4 linked regions of the Schizosaccharomyces pombe genome follow. The gene in region 1 interacts genetically with each later gene. Each region holds a gene or a part of one and is shown in the gene's direction. Other genes may lie near its edges. The genes, in order: ngg1, arp6, mcl1 and sgf73.

What was found.
Region 2: mutations in ngg1 (region 1) and arp6 together harm fitness less than expected from each alone (positive genetic interaction), as found in Schizosaccharomyces pombe (2 studies listed by BioGRID).
Region 3: mutations in ngg1 (region 1) and mcl1 together harm fitness more than expected from each alone (negative genetic interaction), as found in Schizosaccharomyces pombe (2 studies listed by BioGRID).
Region 4: mutations in ngg1 (region 1) and sgf73 together harm fitness more than expected from each alone (negative genetic interaction), as found in Schizosaccharomyces pombe (3 studies listed by BioGRID, with this or other methods).

Annotation. Positions count from the first base shown.
Region 1 is NC_003423.3:1,583,240-1,590,658, reverse strand, and holds ngg1 (SAGA complex subunit Ngg1/Ada3), read left to right. Parts: upstream 1-2,260; 5' UTR 2,261-2,316; coding exon 2,317-3,972; 3' UTR 3,973-4,067; downstream 4,068-7,419. Other genes in the region: upstream binding transcription factor, RNA polymerase I specific, Hmo1, read right to left, coding at 176-1,078, 1,271-1,300; transcription factor TFIIA complex large subunit Toa1, read right to left, coding at 4,242-5,231, 5,273-5,374, 5,420-5,437; hrd3 (HRD ubiquitin ligase complex subunit), read left to right, coding at 6,415-7,419. UniProt on the Schizosaccharomyces pombe protein: Component of the transcription coactivator SAGA complex. SAGA acts as a general cofactor required for essentially all RNA polymerase II transcription. At the promoters, SAGA is required for transcription pre-initiation complex (PIC) recruitment.
Region 2 is NC_003421.2:1,208,432-1,215,797, forward strand, and holds arp6 (Swr1 actin-like protein Arp6), read left to right. Parts: upstream 1-3,507; 5' UTR 3,508-3,576; coding exon 3,577-3,656; exon of another isoform or gene 3,657-3,727; coding exon 3,728-3,842; exon of another isoform or gene 3,843-3,914; coding exon 3,915-4,925; 3' UTR 4,926-5,228; downstream 5,229-7,366. Other genes in the region: nmd5 (karyopherin), read left to right, coding at 1-2,658; Hsk1-Dfp1 kinase complex regulatory subunit Dfp1, read left to right, coding at 6,015-7,366.
Region 3 is NC_003424.3:3,280,940-3,288,932, reverse strand, and holds mcl1 (DNA polymerase alpha accessory factor Mcl1), read left to right. Parts: upstream 1-3,180; 5' UTR 3,181-3,187; coding exon 3,188-3,379; exon of another isoform or gene 3,380-3,424; coding exon 3,425-3,576; exon of another isoform or gene 3,577-3,634; coding exon 3,635-5,738; 3' UTR 5,739-5,929; downstream 5,930-7,993. Other genes in the region: cts2 (chitinase), read left to right, coding at 1-132; DNA-directed RNA polymerase III complex subunit Rpc82, read right to left, coding at 477-2,186, 2,266-2,331; SPOM_SPAPB1E7.01C (uncharacterized protein), read left to right, coding at 6,228-6,719; SPOM_SPAC652.01 (BC10 family protein ), read right to left, coding at 7,130-7,349, 7,419-7,525. UniProt on the Schizosaccharomyces pombe protein: Has a role in regulating DNA replication complexes. Acts as a regulator of post DNA replication initiation. Associates with chromatin during G1 and S phases of mitosis. Required for the transcriptional repression of the outer repeats of the centromeric region.
Region 4 is NC_003421.2:2,120,018-2,126,902, reverse strand, and holds sgf73 (SAGA complex deubiquitinating submodule subunit Sgf73), read left to right. Parts: upstream 1-2,972; 5' UTR 2,973-3,046; coding exon 3,047-3,629; intron 3,630-3,700; coding exon 3,701-4,152; 3' UTR 4,153-4,393; downstream 4,394-6,885. Other genes in the region: twf1 (twinfilin), read right to left, coding at 1-89, 145-273, 382-749, 813-890, 929-953; mrpl17 (mitochondrial 54S ribosomal protein mL46), read left to right, coding at 1,243-1,360, 1,455-1,888, 2,037-2,135, 2,203-2,358; pus1 (tRNA/U2 snRNA pseudouridine synthase Lsp1), read right to left, coding at 4,530-4,701, 4,741-5,096, 5,162-6,238. UniProt on the Schizosaccharomyces pombe protein: Component of the transcription coactivator SAGA complex. SAGA acts as a general cofactor required for essentially all RNA polymerase II transcription. At the promoters, SAGA is required for transcription pre-initiation complex (PIC) recruitment.

The DNA of each region.
Region 1 (7,419 bases):
TATATAACAACCAGTATTTTTAACAAGCAATATTTACAGACATTAGCAACCTGAGTAATAATAGAGAGCACTCAAATCAGCAATACAAGCAAACACTTGTTGCTAATTAATCATTTCCTATAACTTTAATGTTCGGAACAAGGAAATACACAATTAATGAAATTATCAAGCAAACTCAATTAGCAACTTTGGCGGTAGGGGGAGTGGTAATGGAAGAAGACATCGAGCTTTTGCGACGTTTCTTTTTTTCCCTTTTCGCTGATGGCGGATTGGGGCTAGAAACGATTTTGTCAGGAGAGGGTTGAGGTTGAGAAACTGGTTCAACATTGCTTGTAGGTACTGTTGAACGGGTGTGCTTTCGCTTCGGTTTCTTAGCATGCTGTTCTTTAATGTCAGGAGTGGCTCTAGAAGCTTGAGCCAATGGTCTGGTTTCTGAAAAGTCTATCAAATCTTTTTTAGTGGGAGAGGATAAGTCTTCTGAAGGTTTAGTAGAAGTTTCCTCAGCCGTAACTCGACTATCAGCAACTGACGCATTTTCTTTAGAAGCATTATAAGCAGCCATTTCTTCTTCGTAGGCTTCTCGAAGTTTAGAAGCTTCTTCTTCGTAAGTTTTCCGATCATCTTCAGATAGCGAGCCCCACTTTTCATGCATCGCTTTATTCACCTCTTTAACATCGTTACTCTTCTCGCCCAAAGACTCCTTGATTTCCGATCGTTGGTTCTTCTGAAAGAGATTATAGGCTGATGGAGGGCGCTTTGGTTGTGCAGGATCCCTAGCCTTGCGCTTGTTTGGGGTCATGGAGGCTACAGCTTCCGACGTATCGACTGCGGAGGTTGCCTCAACAGGAGCTACTGCTGCAGGAGTAGCTTTCTTAGGTGAAGTTGCTTTTTTAGAAGGAGACTCAATTGCCATATTAATCTCTTTCTTCGCATTTGATGGATCAGTGACGGCTGGCTTAAAAGGTTTCGAAACCTCGGACTTCTCTCCTAATATCGAAGGAAGTGATTCTTCGATCTCACGGCATGCGGTTAAAGCTAACTGAAAAGCTTCCGCCAACCTTGTGAAAGAACCAGAAATCTAAGACGGCAATTTGTTAGATAAAAACCAAAAACCAAGCGGATAACTAAAGAAAATTTTGCATTTAATCATCAAACTTTTCAACCAATTAAAAAAGATTATTTTTAGTAAATACTTGATTTAAATCAATTTTTTGAATCATAAAACATTATGTTGGTTCAAAACACCAAAACTCTTTAAAATATCACATACCTTTTCCAGTTGGGTTGAGTTTTGAGCCATCGTACTACTTAAAAAATATTCAAAGTTTCTAATACAACTAAAGCTTCAATACGATGGCAAATACAGGAAATGGTGGCTGACCTACCGGGGTGATGGCGGGAATTTAAATCTTAGCGGTTATGACGGTGGGTGGTTGGTTAATGCTGGAAATGCGAAGCAGATGAAATTGCTTCAGTTAAACCCACCAGTTCGGTTGAGCTTTCTTCACATTTTATTATTATTACAGTTTATAGTTATTTAATATATGTGACAATTGTTATTGTTGAAATTACGATGGTTCAGTGAGATATTTCTTCATGTGATTCTGTTGAGTGATATAATGAAAATTACAAAAGACAATTGTAGTAAATTAAATATATAATAGGAAAATATGAGAAAATCTACAACCGAGAAAAATTTTTTTTTTTTTTTTTTTTTTTTTTCTTTTTCTAATCTCAATCCACTAAATTTGCTGAGACTTACAGTCAAATAATGTCCCATAAATGGAAAGAATAGCAATAAAAACATCCAAAATTTAAAAAAAAAAAATGATAAAACATTTTCTTGTAAATATTTACCTCTTAATTAAGTATAAACAAATCCTATTCCATTGACTCGTAGATCTATTTCATGATATCTTGTGAAGCTGCAACTCTGTTTATCTAGTTCTTGCGCTAGACCAATTGGTTTAGAAACTATTAAATTTAAGATAAATTTAATTTTAAACAAACCAAAGATCACTTATAGTGTTCAAAATACTTCGCAAAGCATATTGCTTTTGCGATGGATTCACTATGAATAAAATATATTGCTGTTTAATTTGGTTTGAGATATCATATTCGTAGCAATTCAACGCTGTTCTTGATTAATATTTCTGAGCACCGTTATAACAATGTAACAAGTGGTATACTAGACTTCGCTAAAAGTACGCCATCATCGAAATCCGGTATAAAAAATCACCACCTCAGTAATGAATTTTTTCGGGGGAGAGAGACATATGTAAATGTTGTATTGTTCACGATTTAAATTTTTTTGGGATGTCCTCCGAACAACAAAATGAAGCTGATTCGAAACCCGCGGTGATTCCTCAATGTTTTAAAATTGAAAATCAATACGAGACCTTTTCCCGTCTGAGTGAAACGTCAACTCCTGGTGTTGTACCGTCTGTGTCGACATTATGGCGGCTTCTGTTTGAGCTGCAAAAAATGATTGAGTGTGAACCGTCTTGTGTAGAATATTTTCGCCAGCGCAAAGAAGAGTTAGAGTCTCATGTCGATTCTGAAATAGAAACCTCAAAAGACGAATCGTCGGTTAATAAAGTGGAAGAAAAAGTAGAAGAATTTAAAGAAGACAACGTTGAACAAGAAATAAAGCAAAAGCGTTCTCTTTCCGAAAGTCCACAAGAGTCTATGCTAGAAAAAGTTTCCAAGAAGCCCAAAGTTTCAGAGGCCCATAATGAAGAAATCAGTCCCGAAAATGTGGAAACAATTGAGAATGAATTAGATTTACCGGTTAAGGGTAAAGATGAACAGACAACTGGGTTGGTATATAAAAACGCAAACGATCTTCTAACCGGTTCATTACTATCTTTCATTGTTGACGATTCCTTCTCTTATGAACAAAAAAAGAAGCTTTTATGTGTAGATTCCTTTCCAACCAGTGATGTACGATCGTTGGTGGCAGGAACTCCGGCGACTGATGATTTTTCTCACAACAAGCCAAATAACCAGATTTCAATATCAACCTTTTATTCGTCACTTGACCCATATTTTCGTGCTTTCAATGATGATGATATTGCTTTTTTAAAAAAAGGATTTGACGTTTCGTCTTCCTATAATATTCCTCCTTTGGGGGAACGCTATTACGATTTAACTCCGGAAGATGAAATGACCAACCTGTGTGCTAACTCAATTTACCAAAACCTGCAAACCTCTGCTCAAGGATCCCTTGAAGCTTTTAATGAGGCAGATACCGTCTCTGAGGAAGTTAGGTGTGGTCCACTCACTGAACGACTAATGGCTTCATTAATTCCTTGCTACACGCAGAATGATGAGGAGCAAAAACCTTCTATTGCTGTTGGCGAATTTGCGGAAACCGATTCTGGATCCGAGAAAAGCAAAATTGGTACAAGCATTGATGGAATCGAGTCAGGAAATAATGAATATACAGAACAACCGGATATACAAGAGTCGAGTCTTTCAATTTGTGAGGACCGCCTTCGTTACACCCTAAAACAACTAGGTATACTTTATGATGGCGATGTAGATTGGTCAAAGCGACAGGATGATGAAATTTCAGCTACCTTAAGGAGTTTGAATGCTCGTTTGAAGGTAGTTTCTGATGAAAACGAAAAAATGAGGAATGCGCTGTTACAGATGCTTCCTGAGGAAATGGCATTTCAAGAATTCCAAAATGTGATGGATGATCTAGATAAACAAATCGAACAAGCGTATGTCAAACGTAACAGAAGTTTGAAGGTTAAAAAGAAACGTATTGTTACTGATAAAATTGGCTCTTCAGCTACGAGCGGCTCTTTTCCTGTCATCAAATCATTGATGGACAAGCGCTCAATGTGGTTAGAAAAGCTTCAACCTTTATTTCAGGATAAGCTTACGCAACACCTTGGTTCGCCAACTTCTATTTTTAATGATTTATCGGACCACACTACATCTAATTACAGTACATCTGTATGAAGCGTTTAAAATTTGAAAGTGTATATACTGTAATTCTATCATTGTGATCTAATTTAATTGCTTGCTTTAGTGAATAAAATTTGCATGAAATAATAATAATACTTTTAACCGTAGAATAGATTGATGTGCTCACTAAAATATGATAGGAAGATTACTTAAATGCACTTATAAACATGATTCATGAAGAAAACAAAAAGGCCAAAAAGAAGAATGATTGATAGATAAAATACGTCCATCACTTTTTGAAGCAAAACACCTAAAGTAAAATTTTAAATCCATTCAAACTCACCATTCGCCTTGAAAAATAAGTAATCTTTTCCATTAACGCCAACTACGCCATCTCTGAACACACATTTCCATTTATTTTTGTGGTGGTTCACTTTGTCATAAAGACAAAGAACGATAGCCTGTCCAATATCAGAACCTTCTTCAGTTTCGGGAGCCTCATCTGAATCAGGATCGTCTAAATCTGAGTTAATTGCTTCGTCAGAAGGCGTATCAACAGGTGGCTTTTTTTCATCTTCGTTATCTTCTATAGTGCCGTCAATTTGCAAAATGCGATTCTTTTTCAAAACTTCATAAATTTCAGCATCAGCTTTCTGTGCAATAGCAAATCTATTACTTTCAAAATTAGAAGGGCTCCCAGCATCATCTAGATCATGAATAGCACCATCGGTTTGAGGCACGTCATTACGAGAATTAGCAGGGGTGGTATTAGAAGACTCTGTCTCTCCTAATTCAGACTTTTTCGGAGAGTTTTGATTGGGAAGTAACAATCCGCCAAATGAGTTAGTAGATGAAGAGTCGGGAGCATGTTCTTGGCCCGTAGAAGTTACATTTGCAGTCGAATGGTCGTTGATAATCGGTGAGTCAGCAGTTTGATTAGTGGGCAGTTGCAATGAGTTAGAGCTGTAAGAAGGGAAGGGGGCAGTATTATTAGGGTTGGACTGTACGTTAGGTATTGCAGAGCTGTCAAACGAAATATTTGTTGCTGACTGGGGGAGAGAGGGAGTAGGTGGAGAATAATAATTTGAATTACCATGTTGCTGCGCAAATGTATCCATCTGCTGAACAGCACGAATAGCGGCTATATTATTAAGTATGGGAGAGTTTGCAACAGCTGGAGCAGTAACATCTAATGAATCTGTCCTCAAGCCGCTAACTGGATCAAACAATTGACCAATGGGAAATGTGCCAACAGGAGCTTGTGCCCAAGGAAAAGTTGCAACATCGGTAGCAACTAACTTGCTTTGCCATAACTGTTTTATTAGAAAAAGACCTAAACTTCATAAAACCGTACATTTTGTAATTCTCGTAAAGTTGCATCATCAACACCATTTTCTTCAAAATCGCTCCGTGAATTAGCAATCACGTCTAATATCACGTGGTGATAGACCTCACCCTTGATAAAAACATTAGAATAACACTTAAAACAATACTAACTTACGACGATCGAATTGGACATTGTGGTGCAGTTGGATGCGTAGTTCGTAAAAGGATACTTAGAAATAGCGGTAGGTGGACCGCCGCCTCAAATAAGGAGATACAAGGAAGCGATACATTCTCTAACGCGAAGAAATATACTACAACAATTATAGGCGAGTAAATAAAAAATCAAGTACATGTCTTACTTCTAGTAACAATGCGCCGCTATCAATCACTCTGCGTTGCTGTTAAATGTCTAGTAAAGTGGAAAATTCAATTTTTTACTGTAGACTTTTCAAGTTTGTGAATACCGAAATTGGCAATATTAAGTGATATCTTTTAACTGCACAAGTTTTCATAAAACTAACGTGATAATTTAGCTTATTTTCTATAACTAATTTCATTTTGTAAATTTAAAGTAAAATGATTTGTTTTAAGTAAAGGTGCTTGGTAAAGCAACAATACTAACATAATATTTAGCTCAAATAAAATCGGCTTGAGAATGAAAGATTTAAATAACCTGTATATTCGGTATTTGATACGAGTTTTACGACAATAAGACGATATCACGAAATATCATTACTATTTGCGATTATTACTCTTCGCCTGGTAATATTATAAATTATATTACAATATGGTGTGTATTATCATTATCGAGAAAGCGATCCTGAATGATTTATTTGAGGTTATGATAAAGATACGAGTACCGAAAAGGTATTTTCTTTTAACTTTGCTAGAAAAAAATGATAATTTTGGAAATTTAGGTTAAAAGACAACAGACAACAATTGGAAGGATGAATATTTCTGACACCATGTAAATGTATTTACAGTCTTCTATTTACAAGCTTATTGTTATTCAAACAACTTTGCACTTATTCAGCTTCCAGCGCTATTTCTTTAAGCCCTCCATTCAGGTAACAGAGTCACCGATGATATATAAACTCACCACTTTGGAAATTGAACGGTTCTTTTTAGGAGGGAGGACGGACAAGAGGCACACTTTCAGTAATATTCTTGATGCAGTTGCTTAACTTCCTTATATGTCTGTTCTTTATTTTTAAAAGATGCGTGTTTACGGTAATTGGTGGTGAATTTTCTTATGACAACATTGATAAGAAGCCAATTCTCGTGGCTTCGTATCCTGAAGGGTCGAGGTTTAATGTATCAGCGTCTATTAAAACGCTTCCTGATTTAGTTACTTTAACATTTCCGAAACTCGTTAAAGATCCCGGATACGTATATGAAGAAGCTGAAAAAGGAGATCCGGAATCACAATTTTTAATTGCCATGCTGTACGCCATGGGGCCTGACGAACGCTTAGGTTTATCGTTTCCTCGAAACGAACCGTTGTCTCGAATATTCCTTGAACTATCGGCCACCCAAAATTATACGTATGCTTTACTTGCCCTTGCATATAAGCACCTTAATGGACTTTCTACACCGATGTCTGTGGATAAGGGGGTTGAGCTTTATAAACAAGTAGCTCATCAAATATCATGCTTAGTTCAACCCTTGTCTCATTTTGCTCCTGATATAGCAGCAGAATATCCGGTTGACCTATATGATTTATCACGTACTTCAAGCTATAGTGTTCAGAAAAAAGATGACATCGTTGAATACTTAAAGGACTACGCTTTACGTGGAAATAATATATCGGCCCATATAAGCCTTGCTACGATTTACCAGTACGGAACTCCTGGTAAGTTGAAGGATATAAAATTAGCAGTCAAACATTATCTTGCAGCTATTCGTTTAGTAAATTCTGGAATTCCAGATTCTCCTTCTGAAGCTATAAAGAGTATTCACAACAATCCAAGACATGCGCCAACCACGAAAGAAACTGCTAACAGTTTATCAATTGCAGCTTTCAGGTTAGGCTGTATGGCTCTACATGGTGAACTTGGCAAACCAGATCCATCTCTTGCGTATGCGTGGTTTGAATATGGTGTATCCTTAAATCATTCTTCCTCTAAGGCTGCGATTGCCTACATGTACTTTATGGGATATCCTGTGGCTGAAAAC
Region 2 (7,366 bases), on another chromosome or scaffold:
CTTATTTGTTTTCATGAGTTGGCTAAAGTATACCGCTGGCGTTTGGATGACCGTCAACGTGACATTGGTCCGTTAGTCGCAGCACTTTTCCCCACTATTCTTCAACTTGGTCAGGGTCTTATCAATCTTGAAGACAATGATTCAGCCGAAATGCTTCGTCTTATTTTAAAGACATTTAAATCTGTCATTGCCCTTGAGCTTCCTCCGGAGTTACTTGCTAACGATATGATTCTTTCCTGGATCCAGCTTTTATTAGCAGTGGTGCAAAAACCTCTCCCCGAATCTTTGATGTCGCTTGAACCAGAGGTCCGTCAATCTCATGTTTGGCATAAATGTAAAAAATGGGCGTATTATTCTTTGAATAGAATATTCACTAGATATGGAGAGCCTAGCTCTTTGGTGGGTGATTCTGCAAACAAATACCGTGCTTTTGCAAAGAACTTCATTACAAATGTTGTTCCCAACATTCTGGAGACATACATTCAACAAACTATTCTTTGGACTCAAGGTCAGCTCTGGTTATCTCCCCGTGTTTTGTATTTTTTGGGATGCTTCTATGAAGAGTGTGTGAAGCCAAAGTCCACTTGGGCACTCCTCAAGCCTCATCTTCAACTATTGATTGGCAGCTTTGTGTTTCCTCAATTATGTATGAGCGAAGAAGATGAAGAACTTTGGGAACTTGATCCAGTAGAGTTTATTCACAAATATATTGATATCTATGATGATTTCAATTCTGCTGATGTTGCTGCTTCACGGTTCCTTGTGAAATTAGCATCGAAACGCAAGAAATATACGTTCATGGGTATTCTTTCCTTCGCCAGTGACATCCTGAACCAATACGCCGCTTCACCTCCTAATGAAAAAAATCCTCGCCAGAAAGAAGGTGCACTTCGTATGGTTGCTGCTGTATCTAATTCCATCCTTTCTAAGAACTCCCCTGTTGCAGGCATGATGCAAGATTTCCTTGTCGCTCACGTTATGCCCGAATTTACTAGCCCAGTTGGTTATTTACGATCTCGAGCTTGTGAAATGATCAATCGGTTTTCAGAAATTGATTGGAGTGATAAATCGCAGCTTTTGAATGCATACCAGGCAGTTTTGAATTGTCTTCAAGATAACGATTTACCTGTGAGAATTCAAGCTGCTTTAGCTTTGCAACCACTTATGCGTCATCTGGAGGTACACGATGTTATGACCGCCCATGTACCCATCATTATGCAAAATCTCCTATTTCTGGCGAATGAAGTTGATATTGATGCTTTATCTTCTTGTATGGAGGAATTTGTAAGTTCTTTTAGTCACGAGTTAACACCTTTTGCTTCACAATTGGCTAAACAACTTCGCAATACCTTCGTCAAGCTTATGCAAGAAACCATGGACGAATCTACTACCGTAGATGATTTTGACTCCTTAGTTGATGATAAATCGATTGCGGCTATTGGCATTTTAAATACTCTCAGTACAATGATTTTAAGTCTCGAGAACACGGTTGATGTCTTACGTGAAATTGAAGCAATCTTACTTCCAATGATTAATTTTGTATTAGATAACAACATTTTTGACGTGTATGCAGAGTTGTTTGAAATTATCGATGGTTGCACTTTTGCTTCTAAGGAGATATCCCCTATTATGTGGGGCGTGTATGAAAAGCTTCAAAAGGTGTTGAAAGAGTCTGGCATTGAGTTTGTAGAGGAGGCAACTCCTGCCTTAAGTAACTTTATCACGTATGGTGGAAAGGAATTTGCTTCCCGTCCTGATTATATCGCCGTTATGGTTGATATTATCATGCAAGTTTTTAATAGCGAGCACCTGGCCGTCAATGACCGTGTTTCGGCTTGTAAACTAACCGAACTTTTAATGCTTAATTATCGTGGCCTTTTGGATCAATATGTGCCTGCGTTTATTGAGGTTGCTGGTAATCTCTTACTTGTAACTGAAAAGCCAACTTCTCAAACATACCGCGTATTTTTGTTGGAGGTTATAATCAATGCATTATATTATAACCCATCGATGTCTCTTGGGGTACTTGAAATGCATCAGTGGACTTTACCATTCTTTGCGTTATGGTTTGAAAATATACCTTCGTTTACTCGTGTGCATGATAAAAAGTTGAGTTTGGTAGCTATTTTATCGGTAATTTCACTGGGAGCTCAACAAGTTGCTGTTGCTATCCAAGACTCTTGGGGTAATATAATGAAAGTCATGATAACTCTTTTAAATACACTACCTGAAGCATTAGCTGCTCGCGCGGAATTAGAAAAAGAGTATGACGGTGAAACATTTAATTTATCTGGCTCTGGTTGGAATGATGGCATCGATTGGGAAGCCGATGATGATGAGGGTGTCGATGACTTTGCCGTCGAATATGGGGGACCTGATTTGGGTGGAGAAATCTCGGCTGATGTGGTTGACGATTTTGACGAATTTGAGCATTTCCAAGGAAATTACTTGTTGGACGAGGATCCTCTTTTCCATACTTTGTTAGATCAAGTTGATCCATTTTCACTTTTCCAAGAGTTTATGGTTCATTTAAAGGACAACAGCCCTGTCACATTACAAGATCTTGTCAAAAATTTGGAAGCATCCGAGCAGCAATCCTTACAGAGATTGGTAACTGAAAAACCCTCTACCCTTGCTGTCGCTTCCGATAAAACATGAGCCTGTTTGGCGCTCTAAGCCTGTCCAATTTTGGTAATAAAATATAAAAATATAAAACAAGCATTTTCTACACAGTGGTAATAAGCCAAACTGACATATTTGAACGGCTCTTTTTAAATGGGAAATCAAACTCTACGGGTTTGTAAAAATAATTTCTTCAATGAGATACGACCCGGAATTATGGCTTGGGAAAAATGGATGGAGGGTTTGTCTAAAGGGAAGGCTAAGAAAATTATTGTTGTATCGGTTTACAGTTCGGTGAAAACAAACGCAGAGGTGTGTTTCTTTTATAAGAATTTTGGAACGCCAATTGATTAAATGAAATTTAAAATCATAATATACCAGTTAATAAATATGAGAAGTTTTAAAATCGATTAATACTAGTTCATTTGCTTTTACTTTATGCGAATTGACAAACGCAAGTTGATGAGAAAATGAAATAGAAATATATTTTTCTTGAGGAAATAAGCATAAAGTTAAGTATCCACGATTTAGTAGTATAGGGAAAGTCGGTGTTTATGAATGGTATATTAGATGTACGTTGAATTAAGCAGCTAACTAAATTGATAACGGCTAGTTTAGGGGTTGGATAATATGATAAACGGCTTTTACAAACTAAATTTGATAGACAGCCCCCCATTAACGATGTTGTTATATTGATAAAGCTAAGATTTGCAAGATTTATCTTTAAAGTTATTTTAAAAAGATATCCTTCAAATTTATGATATTATTAAAAATATCATAAATATCTTTAAGAGCCAGCGTTATTATACTATTGCTTCAAACTGTAATGATATTGTTGTTATAGCACAACGCTATCATATAACAGCATTCCAAAGCCGTAACAACAGTACATTTAATCGCGGTTTTTGGGTGAAGTTAAGACCTAAGATATAGGAATACATTTTTATTAATAATATGGGACTACCCCCTAAAACTATTGTTTTAGACAATGGGGCATACCATATAAAAGCTGGATTTGCAGGTGGAAAAGTTGTGTAAGAAGAAGTGCATCACGTCAATAAATTTCATGTATCTTTTACTTTTTTCAGCTAACGATAGTTTTTAGTGAAATTCCGAATTGTTTGACGAGATCAAAAGATGGAAACAGATTATTTTTGGGGAATGAATTGGCCAACTGTAACGACTTTACAACTTTACAATTTCGCAGGGCGCATGAAAAGGTACAGCATTTATGAGGGAGTATTATTTACGAACAAAATAAATACAAAGATTATGTTTACTAATACTAGTAGGGGTATTTGGTCCATTGGAGCACAGAAACAGCCGTATGGGACTTGGTAATGCGCAATGTAGGTGTGATGGAACCTAGCATGGCAGACTATTCTTTACTGCTTACACAGCCCGTATTTACAATGCCTTCCATAGAACACAATACTATACAACTCGTGTTTGAGGAATTCCAATTCGATGCTTACCTCCCTTGCACCCCAGCTGAGCTAATTCCTTGGGATCATGGAAGTTTCACAATGAATCAAGAAGATGCGTATACTGGTCAACATGGAGAATGCGTTTTGGTAATTGACTCTGGATATAGCTTTACACACATAATTCCTGTGATTGATTTCTCTGTTCAAGAACAAGCGGTAAAGCGAGTTGATGTGGGAGGGAAATTACTTACGAATTATTTAAAAGAAGTCATCTCATACCGGAAGTACAATATGATGGAAGAAACATACATTGTTAATGAAATTAAAGAGTCCGTTTGTTATGTGTCTCAAAACTTCAAGGAGGACATGGAGATATGTCACGAAAAACCACGGTCAAAATTGGAAATTTGTTATGCTTTGCCCGATTACAGCACTGGAAAACATGGATATATTGTTAGAGATATTAATCAAAAAATAGAGCAACAAGTTTTGAATCTTTCAAATGAGAGATTCATGATACCAGAATTATTATTTTCCCCATCTGATATCGAAATACGTGAGGCTGGGATTCCAGAGGCGGTCATGCAAAGTGTCACCCACTTTCCTGAAAATATACAGGCAATGTTGCTTGAAAATGTTGTTACAATAGGAGGAAACTGTAAATTTCCCGGATTTCATAAAAGACTATCATCTGAATTACGGTCGCTGGCACCAGCTAATTGGGAAGTTAAAGTTTTTGAACCTTCAGATCCTATTTGCTTTCCATGGAAAAAGGCATCTCATATGCCGTTGGAGCACTGGAATGCGAATAAAATAACTCGTTCTGAGTACTCAGAACATGGAGCAAACATAATGACACGAAAAAGGAGAATATAATAGATCACCATTTTAAAACTCAATAATGTGGGTTAAATTTCTATCTTCACAAAATTCTCAAGGCGAGCTGATAATTCGCATCTTAAGAAATTGGTTTATTACATTAAGGCTACAGCAATATAAAACGAAAAATATGCATGCATTAAGAATAAAATCTTTTTATATTAATTAACGAATCATTCTATCTCTTGATCAACCACTAAAACAACAGCTAAATAACTATATCTTTATTATTGTCGCCAGGATAATTCATACCTAAAAAGCGTTAGCGAAATGAAAGATATTATAAAAAAGATAGGAATGAAAATCAGTATACAAGTATAAAAATTTAACCACATAGTTGTGTCTTCAAGACTAATCGATTTGTAAAGCATCATATGTAACATTCTATCTCTTCAAGTGTTTATACTTACATATTATTAATGTGCCTGAAAAACAAGATTGAAAAAAAAGAAAAATTTCAGCACTTCTTCACTACTGTTTCAAGTGCATTTTATATGTACAGTGCAGTTTCAGGTTGACAGTATAAGAGTTAAAGCAACCTTGAGTTAGAGCAGTCACGGTATACTACTTTAATTAGAATGTAGCGCGTTGCGTTGCAATGTAGTCGTGTCGCGTCTGTTTACATTTTGGATAGAAAGAGCTTTTCGTGAAATTTTGTTGCTTCTGTTGGATAAATTGTTCTTTTTCTCAAGTTAATCATATAATTCAGTAAAGGAAAACTGTGTAATAAGAAGAATCGAGATCCCAAATTATTTCTGTTGAGCCTTGTTCATGGGCTACATATATTTTCCCTCACATTTTCAACAGTAAAGCCTTAAATATAAAAGTAAAAGTTGATTAAATGATATAAATTTACTTTAATAATATAAATATGTACAGATATTTTATATTTTCTTCATAGATGTTACCCAATTGAATCGTTACTTTAAGCTGTAAAAGTTGGCCAAATTGCAGTAATCTCGAGTTGACCACCACCAAACACTAATATTGTCTTTTGCGAAAGTAAACAAAGAGAATTAATCCCAAGCTAGGCTCTCATTAAGAGGAAAAATCAAATACACTAATTTAGTAAGGTGGCTGTACCACATGAACCTAGGAAGATGTCCTCTAGCTCCTCGATCTGCGAATATAGTACTCCCGAAACATGATGCCGTATCCAAACAAAAGGAATATCGAATTGAGGAAAAGACAAACGAAGCACAAAGGGAGGAAATTATAACTTGGAAAGACAACAGGGAAGATGAAGGAGAAGTGAAAACCGATTTTGAGGTTGTTAATAACGAAAATATTATCACAACCACCCCTAAACATCAAACTGTTATTACCCCTAAATCATATCGCAAGTCCGTAAAACGGATTAAACATGATGCTCCTCAAAATGAGGATATTCCTGTCATGAAGGGGCTGGCCCCCATTAATGCTGATACTGAGTCGAAGGCGGAATCCATGGCAGCTGGGAAAGTTTTGGGATCTAAGAATTCCTCTCAAAAGGCTCGGTTACAGGAATGGAAAAGACAGTACAAGAAGGCATTTCCTCATTTCCGTTTTTATTTGGATGGATGCGACCCAAGTGTTGCTCATCGAGTGAAAAAACAAATTCAGCAATTGGGTGGACATGTTGAGACGTTCTTCTCAGGAAATGTTACTCATGTTGCAACAGTTCGGGCTATCCAAGATGTTTCGGTTAAGTATGCTAAACAGGATGTAATCACTAAGGCTAGGCAACTGAACATGAAGATTTGGTCTATGGAAAAGCTTTGCAACCGCGTGTTAAAAACTTTAATGGAGAATGATCAATGCACAACCAACGCACCCACCAAACAGGGGAATGACTTGAGTTATTTGCTTTACGTAGAAAAGGTGCAAGGAACGAACGAACGCGATTTATCTGTTCCTAGACAGGACTTTGTGCATTTTCGTGGACCCTACCTTTACGTGCATGACATAGCTAACATTTACAAACCTATACTCTTACGTGAATGGCAAAAACCGCTTCCCGACAGGGACGTTCCTTGGCCGACCTTTCGTGCTACTAGTATTGGCCGGTGTCCATTTGTACCTGAAACAAAGTATCGTCTCAGTACTTCCAAGTCCTTGGTTGCTAAAAATGACCAGCAATTATTGCAACGACAGAGTCAAGAACCATCGCTGATTCTTCGTGCGAATTCGATGAAAGCTTCCTTGCCTGATATATCCAACACCGGGATCTCTGGAATGAACACAAATACCACTTATAACACCAATATCAACAACACCCCTCAAACTGCCATTTCTGGAATTACCCAAGATACATCCCCTTCTATAAGGACAAATTGTCATCACTGTTTGGATGACGGTATGCAAGCATCGGGTATAGTACAGTCAAACTTGACTTCTGCTGCAATGTCCAATAATTCTGCTATTCGCTCCGGTAGTGCTGCTAGTGTTCCGGTGGTAAC
Region 3 (7,993 bases), on another chromosome or scaffold:
TCGGTTGTTATGCCATCTGCGAACGCCTATAAAAAGCGCAGTCTCCCTATAAAAGCAACTGCCAATCCAGCACTTAATGGAGCTGGAACATGGAAGACAATCCATACTAGTGCAACAACCACTGCCGCTTGAAGGTAAAAAGTCTACATGCGCATTGTTAATAGCTGGTCTATATCATTGCACATATATTTGTTATCTTTGTATTTAATTTATCTCACCTTTCTTTCCGTTTGATGCTCATTCATATGATTTATTTCGTTAAATCAATTACAATATTTAGTCGTTTATTTTTAAGAACTAGCATACTTTATATTTAATGCATTATAGACAATTGAATAAAAATTTTGAAACAAGCAGGTAGAAATAATAAAGCCAACGATCTATTTAAGAAAAGTAAATTTTACATCGATGATTATTTACATAAGTAAAAATGTGTTTAGTTAGGTGAAGCAAAAGAAGTGCCGAAGAAACCATTTTTATAAATTATCCCTAAATACTAATACCATATCATCTAACCGAGAAGCTTGTAAAAGCAGTTTTTCCTCGTAACTATACAACTTTTTTAGCTCAGCTTGCTCAAACTTTTGTAGATATTGTTCCTCGTTGCCTTTAATATCTATTCGTTCTGCCTTCTCAATGAGTTGAGCTCTCTGAGCTCGTGCATCTCGTAATCGCATATATAGTCTGGCAATTACATGATAAAGTTCATCCAAAAGGAGAGAGTACGCCCGATCAGGACGGTGAAACCAAAGAAAAAAAGTCTTGGAAGGGGCCCTGTCGGAACTACGCGGAACCTCTTGTAACTCTAAGGCTCCGATTTCTGCCATAGCTTGAAGAACGGTTCGTAAATCTCTTTGACGAAGGAGAGCAATATTCGCCAACTGCTTTTCCTCAATTTTTCCCTTATCTTTTATGATACGCAGTAAACGAATAGCTCTTTCCCCAAATTTTTGTTCTATAAAATTTTCATATTCTATGGCTCGCAGCATGTCGGTTAAATGGGTAAAATTGACCGCCCATTCACCCATTCCTCGATTGCCTATTTTTGAAATAAATTTTAATGAGCAATCTGCCAAAAGCTCCAGGTGTTGAGCCAGCACCTTGCTCTTGCGATTTGCGTTTTCATCAACACTTTCTTCATAATTATCTTCCTCAGCAAGTTCATCTAGTTCATTCAACTTTTCCATGACACGCAATTCGTTAGAGGCAGAATTTACGCTATACTGTTTATCGACAATCGAACTCTCAACGTCGATATCATTCGGAAAGTTTCTCGTAAGCTCCATTGTCGTGAGTGTAAAGACCGGAGATTGATTGGAAATACTAAATAATCTGGGTTCCAACATAGAAAGAACGTGAGAATAGACAAGCGAAGTTGATTTACCAATTCTTCTTTCCACCCAATGGGTAAGCCTGGCATTTTTTGAGAGGACAGAAAGTTTTCCTGAATTTATGCGAACATGCGCGGATAGATCAGGTACAAGGATGCTATTATCATCGTCTAATATATTATTCAAATCCGTTGATACAGACGGAGCAGAGCCAACAGCACGTTTCCTTCTTTTTGTTGGATGTGGTATTGATTCCTTTGGCTTCCTGGTAAGTCCTTGTAGTTCTGACATATCTGCTGCACGAAGCTCTAACATTTCCAAGGCGACAGAATCATCAACCTCTCTATTTTTTTTTATTTCAGACACGTTTTCTGACTTTCTGCGATCTAAGTGCTTGATCCGGAGTTGCATTTCCTGATCTCCTACTGGTATTAAATGTCTCGGTTGCACTACTAGCAAAAACTTTTGGTAAATCAATTCCGTTAGATTTTTCTGCATCATACGGCTTTCTTCATCACTCCCATCAACCTTTTTATCGAAAGCATTGAATACTTCGAGTACACGTGCACGTCCTTGGGTACTAAGATATTTTACCACAGAGGCAGCCTCCTGGTTTAATTTTTGAGATATCAAATATACATCTTTACCTTTGCGAAGAATGTTATAAATTTCCTTCCATTGGGTCTCATAATATGTGACTTCACGTACATTTTCAATGACCGTAACGTACAAAACCATATGATGCTGCATTAAACTGACAAGTGCTTGTCGAATTTTTGGTCCTGGCAACGAAGTCCGTTTTTGTAGCATGGGAATCGTTAAACGACCATGCCTCAAAAGTGCACTAGCTACTGCCTAAATTGACAATAAATTGGTTAATACAAAAGACTTTGCAACCTCAACTTCAGATTTAGAAATACAATTGAATCCTTACCGAGCAACAATCACCGAAAAATTCCTCTACGAGAATCTCACACAGTTCTACAGCATACTGTGACATGATCAAGCAGATTACCAATCTTGCTTGGAATGGTAAATTGTTTGGCAGACGTAACTACAAAAAAGCAAAGATTTCACAACCTAGAGTATGCCAATAGCCTGTATTTTGTGCGTCGTTAAAGCAGCGTTAACATTTATAGTGTATCACTCTAATACAGAATAAAACTTTAACGATGTGCAAAAACGATTTTCATATTACTTTTTGAAAAAATACATACATATAATTACTGCGAGTATTAAATGAATGATCGAAATCTAATTGTATGATTAATTTATTTAACTTCTTTTTAATTTTCCTGTGAGAGGCTCCACTAGGTTTCTCAATTCCATTTCCATGTCGTTGATTTTTTGTGGTTTAATCAAGCATGACTTATCTGCAGATTCTGTTTTATAGCTTGTCATGGTAAGCATTAATTAAAATACTAAAAGACAATAGCTAATTGCATATTTTTCCTCCATTTAGAATATTGCTGTGCGGCTGTTTGAACATTTATAGCAGACATTTCAAAACTTTTTAACAGAACTGCTCTAATGGAACATCAAATACAACTTCAGAGTAATTAAAAAAAGCTCTGAAATGATTAAAGTTAAATTATTCCTATAGTCTCACATATAAGTTACTTTAGTATTAATTTCTAATTGTTAGCAGATGATTAAAAGCATGGATTGCATATTTTCAATCGTACTTGCATATGAAAATAAATTGTAGACAAACATTTGCAATTTCTCAATAGTGCTTTCGTGGTAGATTTTTTATTTAAATGTTTGTTTACATTAAATAGCGTAACTAGCTAACGAAAGTATCGCTATTGCCATACTAGTCCCAATCTCATATACAAACTCTTCCTCTAGCTATTATGGCAGGGAATAGGCTAGTTCCTAGATATGCCCATACAGATGGACTGACGCGTCTAGCGTATACTCGTGATGGGAAATTTCTTCTTACGGTCGGTTCTAATCAAGTAATCCGAAAATTTCAGGTTGGTTCTGATGAGGAACCCGACTCCATTGATAATCATCAAGATCCTATAACAGGAATTGCAGTTGCTGTAAGTGGTCCTCAAAAAAGTTTGGAGCTAATGACTTTTATATAGGAAAATTATTTTTGTACTTGTTCAGAAGATGCAACTGTCTGCGTATATCCCATCGATTCTCCTACCGAGCATACATTGCTGGCGCGTACTACTCTTCCTATTCGCGATGTGGCATATTCAGTAGATGGAAATTGGATTGCCATAGCTAGTGAGTAAGTTTTTTTTAGTGTATAATGCTCTACTTGGTCGTTTTCAGCCTAACAAATATAGTGAAACAGCAGTGAAAGTGGTTTCGTCCACTGATTCTTCACAAATTTTCTCTCTTCGTCCAGCTAAGGCTTCGAATAAACATGTAACTTATAGCCCGAACGGAAATTTTTTAGCAGTTTCCAGTTGCAATGGAATTTTGTATTTTTATGACACCCAAACTCGTGAACTCATCAAGTTCTTAACAAACACTATTGCCTCTTTAGAGGCAGAATCAGAAATTTGCTCAAAGGCGGCTTGGCATCCTAAAAACGGGACATTTGCAGTTGCGAGTACCGACCATTTTGTATCAGTTATTTCCCCTGATGACTGGCTTCCATTGTACAAACTTCTTCCAAAAGAGAATCATTCTGGTGTAACAGATATCTCCTGGTCCAGTAATGGAATGTACATAGCTGCTTCATTTAAAAAAGGAGGCATTTTAATTTGGGATACACAAAGTCATGAAGTAGTCGTTGAGCTCCCCTATAGTACAGTGGTGGCACTCGCCTGGCAGCCATTTGAAAACGTGTTATCATTTACTACAAATCAGGGAATTTTGTATTCATGTCCGGATGTCATTCCTAAATCAATATTGAAGGAAGAAAATGATCCTACGAAGCCTTTGACTTCGTCAAAAAGTAAAAACCGTACTTCCAAAGAGCTTGATGATCTTTTTGGTTCTGACGATGAGCAAAGTCAGAACGTCAATGATTTGGATGGGAACTCTGCCAACGAGGAAAATGAGTTTATCAATCATGATGGATTGGATTCATCTTTGGACCTAGATGGTGATAGTTATATGGTTGATGAAAACGACTTAAACCTTGCAAAGAAAAGAAAGCAGAAGGCGTTGATCGACAGAACTACAACAATAGAGAATGGTTCTAGTAAAAGACGTTTACTGCAAGCCTCAATACATAAACCCGTTCATACTGGAAGTACACCATGGCAGGGTAATAGAAGATATCTATGTTTGAACTTGGTAGGGTTTATCTGGACTGTACAGCAAGATGCAGAACACAACACTATAACGGTTGAATTTCATGATGAAACTACTCATAGAAAATATCACTTTGTTGATGACCAAAAATTTGAAATGGCATGCTTAGATCATGAAGGTGCTTTGTATGCTTCGCCTGCAACGGAAAGTTCACCTGGTGTTATTTATTATAAAGCACATGTTGATTGGTCGCGTAAATCTGAATGGGCAATGGCTTTACCCATGGAGAATGAAAGTCCTGTGACAATTTCATTAAGCTCAAGCGTTGTACTGGTATGTACGAGTGCTGGATATGTTCGCGTATTCTCAAGACAAGGCTTTCCAATTAGCATTCACAGGAGTAAACACTTGCCATTTGTAGCTTGTTCATCTTTTCAGGATACGATTATAACCATCGCCAACGATGGTTTGAGCTCTGATGGAAATTCTCGTCTTGTTTATTCCATTGAAGACATTTCTCGTGATGAAATGTTGCAAACTGGTGATGGGGTTGCATTACCACCCCAAGGAACGTTAGAGAGTGTTTTCTTTTCGGATGTTGGAGATCCTTACATCTACGATTCAACTGGGGTATTGTTGGTATTAATGCATTGGCGCATACCAGGACAAGCCAAGTGGATCCCTGTTTTAGATACAAATGAATTGGAGCGTCGCAAATCACGGCAAGAGTCTTATTGGCCTGTAACTGTTGCCGATAATCAGTTTCACTGTATATTGCTAAAAGGAGCCTCTCGATATCCCTATTTCCCTCGTCCGATGTTTACAGAATTTGACTTTCGTATTCCTTGTAATACGAACAATCCGGATGCTTCTACATCTGTTCCTGTTTTAGAAGAACTACAACTCCGTAATAAACTATTTTTGACTTTATTGGAAGATAGCATAGGAGATGGCGATGTTACGGAGGACGAAAAAATAAGCATTGCTAGACTAGAAGCTAACATTGACAAAGCCTTGTTGCAACTTATTCAAAAGGCTTGTCTCGAGGAAAGAATCGAACGTGTCTATGAATTGACAAAAACTTTGAGAAGGACAACAAGTATTGCTGCTGCTCAAAAGATTGCGCTCCACCATTCCCTTACAAATGTTGCTGAAAAAATTGGTAATCTACTATCTAACGTCTAAACCCTCACGTCTTAATTTTTATGTAACATTATTTTTTGCATATTAGTAGCTTGAGCTAATCAAAAGGGGTTTGAAGCAAAGCTATGCAGAAGTTTTGTCACGATCTTGCTCCTTTCTAAATTCATTTATATAAGCATCTAGCACTTTGATTTTTTTCTCATTTTTGTATTTAATAAACACATTTCATTTTGTTTACCATATAACCTCTATGTTTATATGTCAGTATATTCGGCATATATTTCGAGTCTATTTAGAAATTGCACAGGGGTACAAAAAATTGATTCATAAGAAAAGGTGGAAACATTTTTTAAAATGACAAAGAGTCACAAAGGAATTTGTATTCTTTTCCTTTCTGAAATGAAATAAAATCTAATGTAGAAACTGCAAAGCTCAGTGCCTTAGGGTGCGTTACAGTTCGTAAAGTTGCAGACACTAAGTGCAGTACAACTTTGTAAAGTGCCAAGCTGCAAACGAAAACACAATTTTAGCATGGAACAAAAAGTGAGTGCGGATGTGTTATTGAATAAATATCAAACATCCATAAGCATCACAAAAAACTTAATCAATTCGTGGTTGGGAAACGAAAATACATCTGTCAGTAGCGATGAAAAAAATGACGATCCACCGTTACAAGCTAGGCCGCCACGGTTAGGGTTGGGTGCTAGTAGAAAAGACCAGTCAGAAAACAGCTGGGTTACTTCCAAAAATGAGAAATTGAAAAGCCTGCCACCGGCATTAAAGAAGAAGATTGAAAGACAGTTGCAGAAGAAGAAGGAAGCTGAAAAAATTGAAGGCGGCAAAAACCACGACAATTTAAAGCGAAAATTGAATAAAGTAGGCGATGAATTGAACGAGCAACAGTCTGATACTGATGATGATGATGATGATTCAAAGGCTCGCATTACTAGCCGATCGAAAAGAGCTAACGCCCAAAGTTCTGGCTTTGATATTTATAAAAAACTTGGGAAGAAAAAAAGGTGAACTTGAAAGAAAAGACATACATAAAATATTTGCATAAAAGGTTTGACTTCTGATTCATTTTGATCAAGAGATTAGCCTCAAGGAAATGGACATCCTATGAACCCATAAATAAGCAGCACTGGAGTATTTATGGCATTGCTATTGGTTGACGTGCATGAAGTTGAATCGAAATTTATTTTTCTGTGAAAAAATTTACGATCCTTAATCACATTTAGTGTTTACATTGGATGGGTCTTAATTTGGGTGCCGTGTTTACCTCTTTTCAATCAGGAGGGTTTTTTTTTTGTTTAGTCGGTATGTTAAGTAAATAAATTTTAGATAGGGACAGTTGGTAATATGAAAAGGCACACCTATTTTTTATGAATCAAGCTCAAGCGATTCAATTTTGTAGTGAAAGACTGACTGCACTATTATAATTTAATAGTGGCATCTAACCAAGGAATGTGAATGCTTTCCTTACCCGCTAGCCACCGAATCCATGAAAGTCGAACCAACCTGTAGCCGGCTTCTTTTAATTCCGTAGGGAATGCTTTTGTGTCGAAAATATTTCGATTGAATGAAAAAAAGGTTGAATCACTCCACAGAGTGCGTGTATTAATCAACAATCCCAGTATAATCATGCAATATGGACTGAAGCCTGTTAGTCAAAATCTCGTATGGAATGGACGGCTTGTTTATCAAACTGGTTGTTGAACTTACCATGGATATTTCCGAGCAATCATGGACAGCATAAAGATCGGATAGAAGAAGTATGGAGCAGCATTAGCTACTAAAAGCATTGGAATAAAATATCGTAAACATAGCATTTTGTACCAAGTTTGGTAAAGCAACAAGTTTTTGAAGGATGTAATTTTACACTATTAACGCCATTTGGTCACGTAACAATCCATTAAGACGATATGCCGTTTTGTGAAACCGAAGCGATAACTCGGAATTCAAAGATTTCGTAAGCGCTAAATATCGTTAATTAGATAAAAGTTGTAGATCCAGCGATCCTTTGGTATTGCAATGTTCAGTATTGTTTACAACTTCAGAAGCATATAAAAACTCTTTCGACTTAGATTACAATTAAGATTTCAAAACTTTTATAAATTACTGCAAGTTGATTGACGCACTGGTTGGGTTGACATTGATTGAGTGAATTGACAAGCTTCACCATCGATATCCGTCACACATACTTGGGTCATATAAAGTGTTTATTGCATATAGTATTTAAAAATTTCATTTAAAACTTCAACTGGTTCATCTTTTTACATACGCCTTGTATATCCATA
Region 4 (6,885 bases), on another chromosome or scaffold:
GGTTCGGTGGAAGAAAAGAAGGATTTCACATCAGAAGGAGGTATATTTTGCTTTTCTTGACTTAAACTTATGACTTCTTTGTCAATAGACTTTTAAAGGAGGTTAGCAACACCATACATAGCAAAAGTATCATAGCTTCCTTACCAAAATAACAAGATTGTTTTCTGTAGATGATTTTAAATCAGAAAGAGCCTTTAAGGCTTTATCATCAATCGACATAGCAACACCACGGGTCACCAAAGGACGCTTATGAGTTACTGAGGATTGCATAGACTACATAGTTGTTAAAATAGATGCAAATAAAAGAGTAGAAGCTATAAATTCTACGAGCCACGGTAAAGAAGTATGAAAAATCCATCCACCCCAATACAGTTTACCTACCTCATTGTACTCTTTCCTTTCGAGTTCATCTTGTCGTAAAGGACTTTGGTCCTCTTGCTTGCTTAAGCTCTTCATAATTTGCTGATAATCTAACTCTTCCGGAGTACTTGCGAAATAAGACTCGTCGAGTTTAGCAAGAGTTACGCATCTTACAAATGCAGCACGACTAGAGGCATATAACATCTTCCTGCGAACATTCGCATTTTCAGGGACATAGGAAATTAATTGTAATAGATTTTTCTTGCTATCATCATAAACGAGGACAAATGCAGGTTCTTCAGATCCGAGCAAACATTCACGGACTTTCTTAAAATCAGATTCTATCGATTCTGATTTTTCAACCATTGTTTTCACGTCAAATGAATTCTCTAAATCATTTAGTAACTTCAACTAACTTAAAATTTACTCTTCTAGCCCGAATGGAAACTTACCATTAGAAATGCTAATAATGGCGGCGCGAACCGGTACCGAAGAGTACTCCTCGAGAAATTTACTGAACTTCTCTGTAGCTATCCACACGTTAGAAGAATTTAGCCAAATTTCTTACGTTTTAATTCGACGGAAGCAGACATTGTTATGGGGATTGAAAGGTTTACTGCGTCAGCAATTCCCCATTCTAAGTGAGTTAAATTGAATTATAACGAAATCCAAAGAAATCTATTAAAACATATTAACGATAGCAACAGAGTCTCTAAGAAATATTACAGTACTTAACGAAGCGTGTAATGTACGCTGGTAAAACAGGTGGTAGTGCTAGCCATAGCGAAACGTCGATTGCCTTTACCAAGTGGTCTTTACCGGATTAGTAAACAAAGCCGAAATTTGGAGATTTACTTGGCGTAAATTGACTAAGTTTAAACAATGTACTTGAAGAGAAATATTATAAATATGCAGAGGTCTTTTTCGCGTCAATTTCACATTTCTGTACGAAATTCCATTCAATCCTCTAAACCCTTGTCTAACTCGACTCCTCTAAAAGGTACAGAATTAAAAAATGAAAATGAATTATCTAGGGATATTAAATATAAATAAAAAAATTACCTTTGATGTACATGATTGCTAACATATCTTAGGTTGTTCAGTGGGTACAATTTTAATTAGATCGCCAATTCTTACTCGCCAACCATCCGAATTCGAAAAATCTATATATAAATATAATGCGGAACTTTGGAATGAGCTGAGTGATCCTTTACCTGCAGAATTTTATTTCAAGAAGGGATCGGTGGGTGAAAAAGATTGGCAAGAACGACAAAAAACACTAAAAGGTAAAGAATCACCCTTTGAGACGATATTTGGAAAGGAAAGGAAAGAGATGGAGTCTAACAAATTATTGGATTCTGCAACTCACTTGCAATCCAGAGTCACAGAAGCTGATACGAAAAACGATGAGCGAAGCACTCTTCGCTCGCTTGACAAGTCCCTTTACTTGTTGGTAAAAAAATCTAAAAGCTCGGGTTGGCAATTTCCTAACACTCCTGTTACAAGCTCCGAGAAGGCGCTGCATCTGGTAAGTACATTTTTTAAAATTCGATTCCAAGATACACAATATAGTGCAAGAGACTACTTACTATTGATTTGATGCTAAATAATTTATCAAATACTCTTGCAATTTTTGTTTACATAGTCTGCAGATTGGCCTTTCTAACAAACTGTAGTTATGTCAAGATCTTTTAAAAAATATATTAGACGAAAATTCGTTGACTTGGCTAGTTGCACGTCATCCATTAGCATTACTAAAAACGGAACAAGAAAAGGTAAGACTACGGATTTTTTGTTCTCATTTTATCTGGGTTGATTTTTTGTTTAACCAGTTATTTCTAGACCTTCTTGTTACGTGCTCGTTTATTAAATGGATTAGATGTACCTAACCTGCAAAACGTTTATGACTGGGTTTGGTGTACGTACGATGAACTGAAAAACAAACTTTCTCCTTCTTCATGGGATTCTGTAAAAAACATACTTTCCGATCGTTTGTAATCTTCAATTGAGCAAACAATATGTAAAATCTACGGAAAATAAACAGCGGAACATTTCATCTTGGAAATTCAATCTTTCTACAATCTTACTGCATTTTTCAGCTTAATTTTCACGTTTTCTATTTTTTTCTCTCCTTAATTTTTGATGTTTTGGTACGATGTAAAAAAAAACAAATAATTTTGGAATTTCACTAAGTATTTCTCCTTATTTATTCTATCTTTTTATTTGCAAATGATTCTGCCAGTATTTTATTTTCAGCCGCCTACTTTTGGAGTCCGGATTTCATGATTACTCACCCTCATGATCTGTGGATTCTTGGCAGTGTACGAGAAAACGGGAAAAGCGCGCACCTTAATAATAAACTATGTTTAGCTCAAGGGACCTAAAAAAATAGAATTGTTAATCAAAATTGATATCCGTAGTTTGTCCTCAATTCCAAGATCAAAAATTCTTTTGTCAGTCATAGTCTAGCCCTTAAAGACAATGTCTGTATAATTTAGTAATTATCAGAAATGATATGTGTCAGCATAATCCTTTGAAAGTTCATTAGAATGCAATTATAGACTTTGCTTTCTGGAAGCATTAAACCGTACATACACTTGACTTACAGATTTAGTCCCACTACAAAGGAATTGACAAAGGGCAACTTTGTAGAATTCTGTTTATAAACTCGGTTCTTATCAATAAAATGTTAACAGAACAACAGACTTTGGAGTTATTTCCAGAAAATTGGGAAAGAAATGAGCAAGTTTTGTTGAAATACCCGGATGGGTTACCCAAAGATGTACTCGCTGATCAAAGAGTTGATAATACAGAATCACAGGTAAAGGATGAAATAACTTCTAACATTACGAATCAAACTCAAATTTTACTACCTGCTGATTCCTTTCCTCAGTATGGGTCATATCCTAACAATTCAGAACTCGATTATGTTGTATGCACAAAATGCGACCGACCCTTCCTATCAGAGTATATTGAGGACCATCATAGCTCATGCAATGGAATTAAACCTCCTAAGCCTCAATTTGAGCCTGTTGCGAATTCTCAGGTTTTAAACAAAGATGTCAACAATGGCAATAATGCACCCATCAAAAATGGTGTTAAATCGACAGCTAAGGGCTCAGCTGGGAATCATGAAAAGAATTCAGTTAATGGTCAAAAGAATCCTGAAATGCCTCCAAAACGTCGGAAGACAGAAGAAAACAAAAAGCCTACAAAATCCGCCCTTCCCAAGAAAGAGGCTAGCAAGAAGAAGAATCCAAAGGTCAAAGGTATGTTGGTTTATGCTGTTCAATATGGAGAATGGAGTACCTGTTTACTTTAATACTAACATTCAATTAAGGTCCTGTGGATGTTGAAAAGCAATGCGGTGTTTTGCTTCCTAATGGGCAAATGTGCGCCAGATCTCTCACATGTAAAACGCATTCAATGTCAAGCAAACGAGCCGTTCCGGGAAGATCTCAGCCATACGATGTTTTGCTTGCAGCTTGTCAAAAGAAAAACCAAGTAAAAATACAACGACAAATCCTCGAAACTGCAAAAGAATCCGAAGATAATCAGCATCAAGCGCCTGTTGATTCTGATGAAGAAGTCAGTTTCATTATGAATGTTCTCCAGAAATCTGGCAATCAGCCTTTGGAGCAAAAAGTTTTTTTACCCGTAAAACGTCGCCATTCGTATTTTCGTACTAGAGAGTTAATAGCTGCTGCATTTCGACATGGTGAGCAGGGTATGCAAGTTACTGGTACTATATTGGGACGAGTGATTCCTTTTAGTGCCCGCCAACCACTATAAAGAAATTCTTTTGATTTTGCTTCGGTTGATGATTTAAATTCTTTATGAGATTATAGTTTACATTTTGGTCTACTTGACCACGCATTTTCGACTTTTTAATTTTCTCCTCCGTTCATCTAGTTTCTATTTCATTAATTTTTTCATTTTTTATTTTGTATATTGCACCATACGGTCTTAACATTTGGAATAATCAAGTAGAAGTTAATAAACTATAAAAATACCAATAGAACCCAAAACCAATAATCAATTCTAAAAAAAAGAAAGAAACAAGTATTCTCCAAAAATATATGTACACGTTTGTAGTCTAATTTTTTAAAAGAAACAGCAAAGTTTATGGTATCAGTTTGTTGCAAATCCTCAGTCTCACAATCAATCCTTTAGCCCTCTAAATCATCCTTGTTTTCAGCCGAATCTTCTTCTTCATCGCTAGAAAGAACATCAGGCAATTTTGAGGAAACCTCTTGCGTCTTTTCAGTAATGCCTATATCTGATAAATAACTGAAATCTTCTTCATTATAACTGTCAATAAAAGACAAAAAACAATGAAATCTAAACCGGTTAGTTAATTTAAGAAAAAAATATACTTACACTTGTTTACGAGCTTCTTCGAGAAAAATTTTATCATAAATATGAGCATGCTTAAAAGCAGTAATTTTTTGCTCGTACTTTGTAAAGTCGATAGGATCACGATTATTCTCTGGAGCTTTATGTTCATTATAACCTTTAAAAAACGGTGACTCTAATAAAAGTCCAAAACCAGGTCCCTTGGGTATGTTAATTTTTGTTTTTTTAAAGGCATCTTGTATGCGCTCAACAGGACAACCCGTTCGTACAACTAAAATAGCAAGCGCAATCATCTTTCTAATTTGGTGCAACATAAAAGATTGACCATGAACTTTACATGAAATCCATTCTGTATCGCCAATCATGAATGGATCAGATGCCTAGAATGTTAGAAACAAGACTTGTCAAGAATACTATAAATACAAAGAAGATAATTCTTACTTACAGTAAAAGAACGGATCACGCGATTACTATTCTTCTGATGAAATGCTTGCCCCACAGTAAAATTGTGAAAGTTATGAACTCCAACATATTGGTTTAAAGTTTCTCGAATAACGGACAGCCTATCTGCGGAAATACGGTAATTTTTTAATTTAAGTACTTCAATGTGCTTAAGTGCACGTTCGAGACGATAACTGGGATCAATCTTGGAACCAGCAGATTCGTCTTCAACAGAGTCAGGCTTTAAAAACTCGTTTACAATAGCAGAGGAATCGGAATCCATATCTGGATTAGTTTTAGCGGAAACTCCTGCTTCAGAGCCCTTATTATTTTCCGAATTAGCAAGAGCAGCAGCTCCCCTTTTAGAATATGGATTTACGAAGCCTTCAGGATCCTGTTCATAAAGGCTCAAAATCTCTTTGGCTGCAATATCATAATCATCCCAAAATTCCTTTCCTTCTTCATAAAATAATGAACGACTGAGTTGATTTATATTTTCCTTGTTAATTGGCTCAGCAGGCATGGGAGAATTCTTCATAATGCAATTTCCAAGTATGGACGAAGGTTTCGGTGGAACAAAAGCATACGTTGGAACCATATATTCATATATACGAGATTCGCAATAAGTCCTTGGGTTAAAAGAATTAATAGTACGGATCACATCCCATAAGCGAATGGAAGGAGGGAGGTGTTCGTTCACTTTTTCAATTAACTTCTCATCTTCCATTATAAGTTTGAGACTGATAACATTTCCAGCGGCATGAACTCCTTTATCAGTTCTTGCGGCTCTTGCTAAAGCAACTTTCTTTGGGTCATCAGCGTTATAAGAAGAAACGGCACCAGCCTTCACAAAAGCATCAAAAAGATCTCCTTCGATTGTTTTACTAGGAGGATTCAATTGCATACCATGATATCCGCTACCACAATAACCTACAAGACAGGCGACCTTTCTTTTCGGCTTTTTTTCTCCAACTACCAAATTCTCTGGCCGACCTTCTCCATTGTATATAGAATTAGGTCGGTTCCTTTTCGCTTCTCGACGATCACCATTGTACCAAGTGCGTTTACCACCACGTCCCATGCTGTAGTTAATATTATTTGTTTTTGATGAAAACGCAATTTACGCTGCACAGGTAAAAATTCATTTAAACATAGTAGAGTATATTTTCTTAATAATGAAATGCAAGGAATCGTTATTCATTCAATAAGATAAGAGTATAATTACACGATGGTTCACTAAACAATTATAAAACAATATACTTCGCTTACCTTAAGTTAAAAGTTTTAAGAATTAAAAAGCTAAATATTGTATCGCATTTCGAGCAAAAACAGATTGATGAAGCATTCAAACCAAAAAAAAATAATCAGCCTGAAAAAGGAATGACTTAAGACTGACTATTAATTGTTGCTTATTCTCTGTCTCTGTGTTTTATCTTTTGTTACCAGTTGTCGAAGTAAAGGCCAAATTGAAACCCGTGACTAATCCTTCCAATAACTAAGAAAAGTATACCTATTATCAATTTTATATCAAAAATCTAGTCCTTTTCATCGTTCATAAACCTCATTTTTTATTTTTTTCTTCCACACGTTACGAACAAAACCGCAAATTGTCAGCAATACTACACTAAGCTATGATATATTACGTTGCGTTTCACTATATGTCACATGTTCTAATTATATATCGTACCATGTATGATACGATATTGATATTGATCTTAATTAAAATCT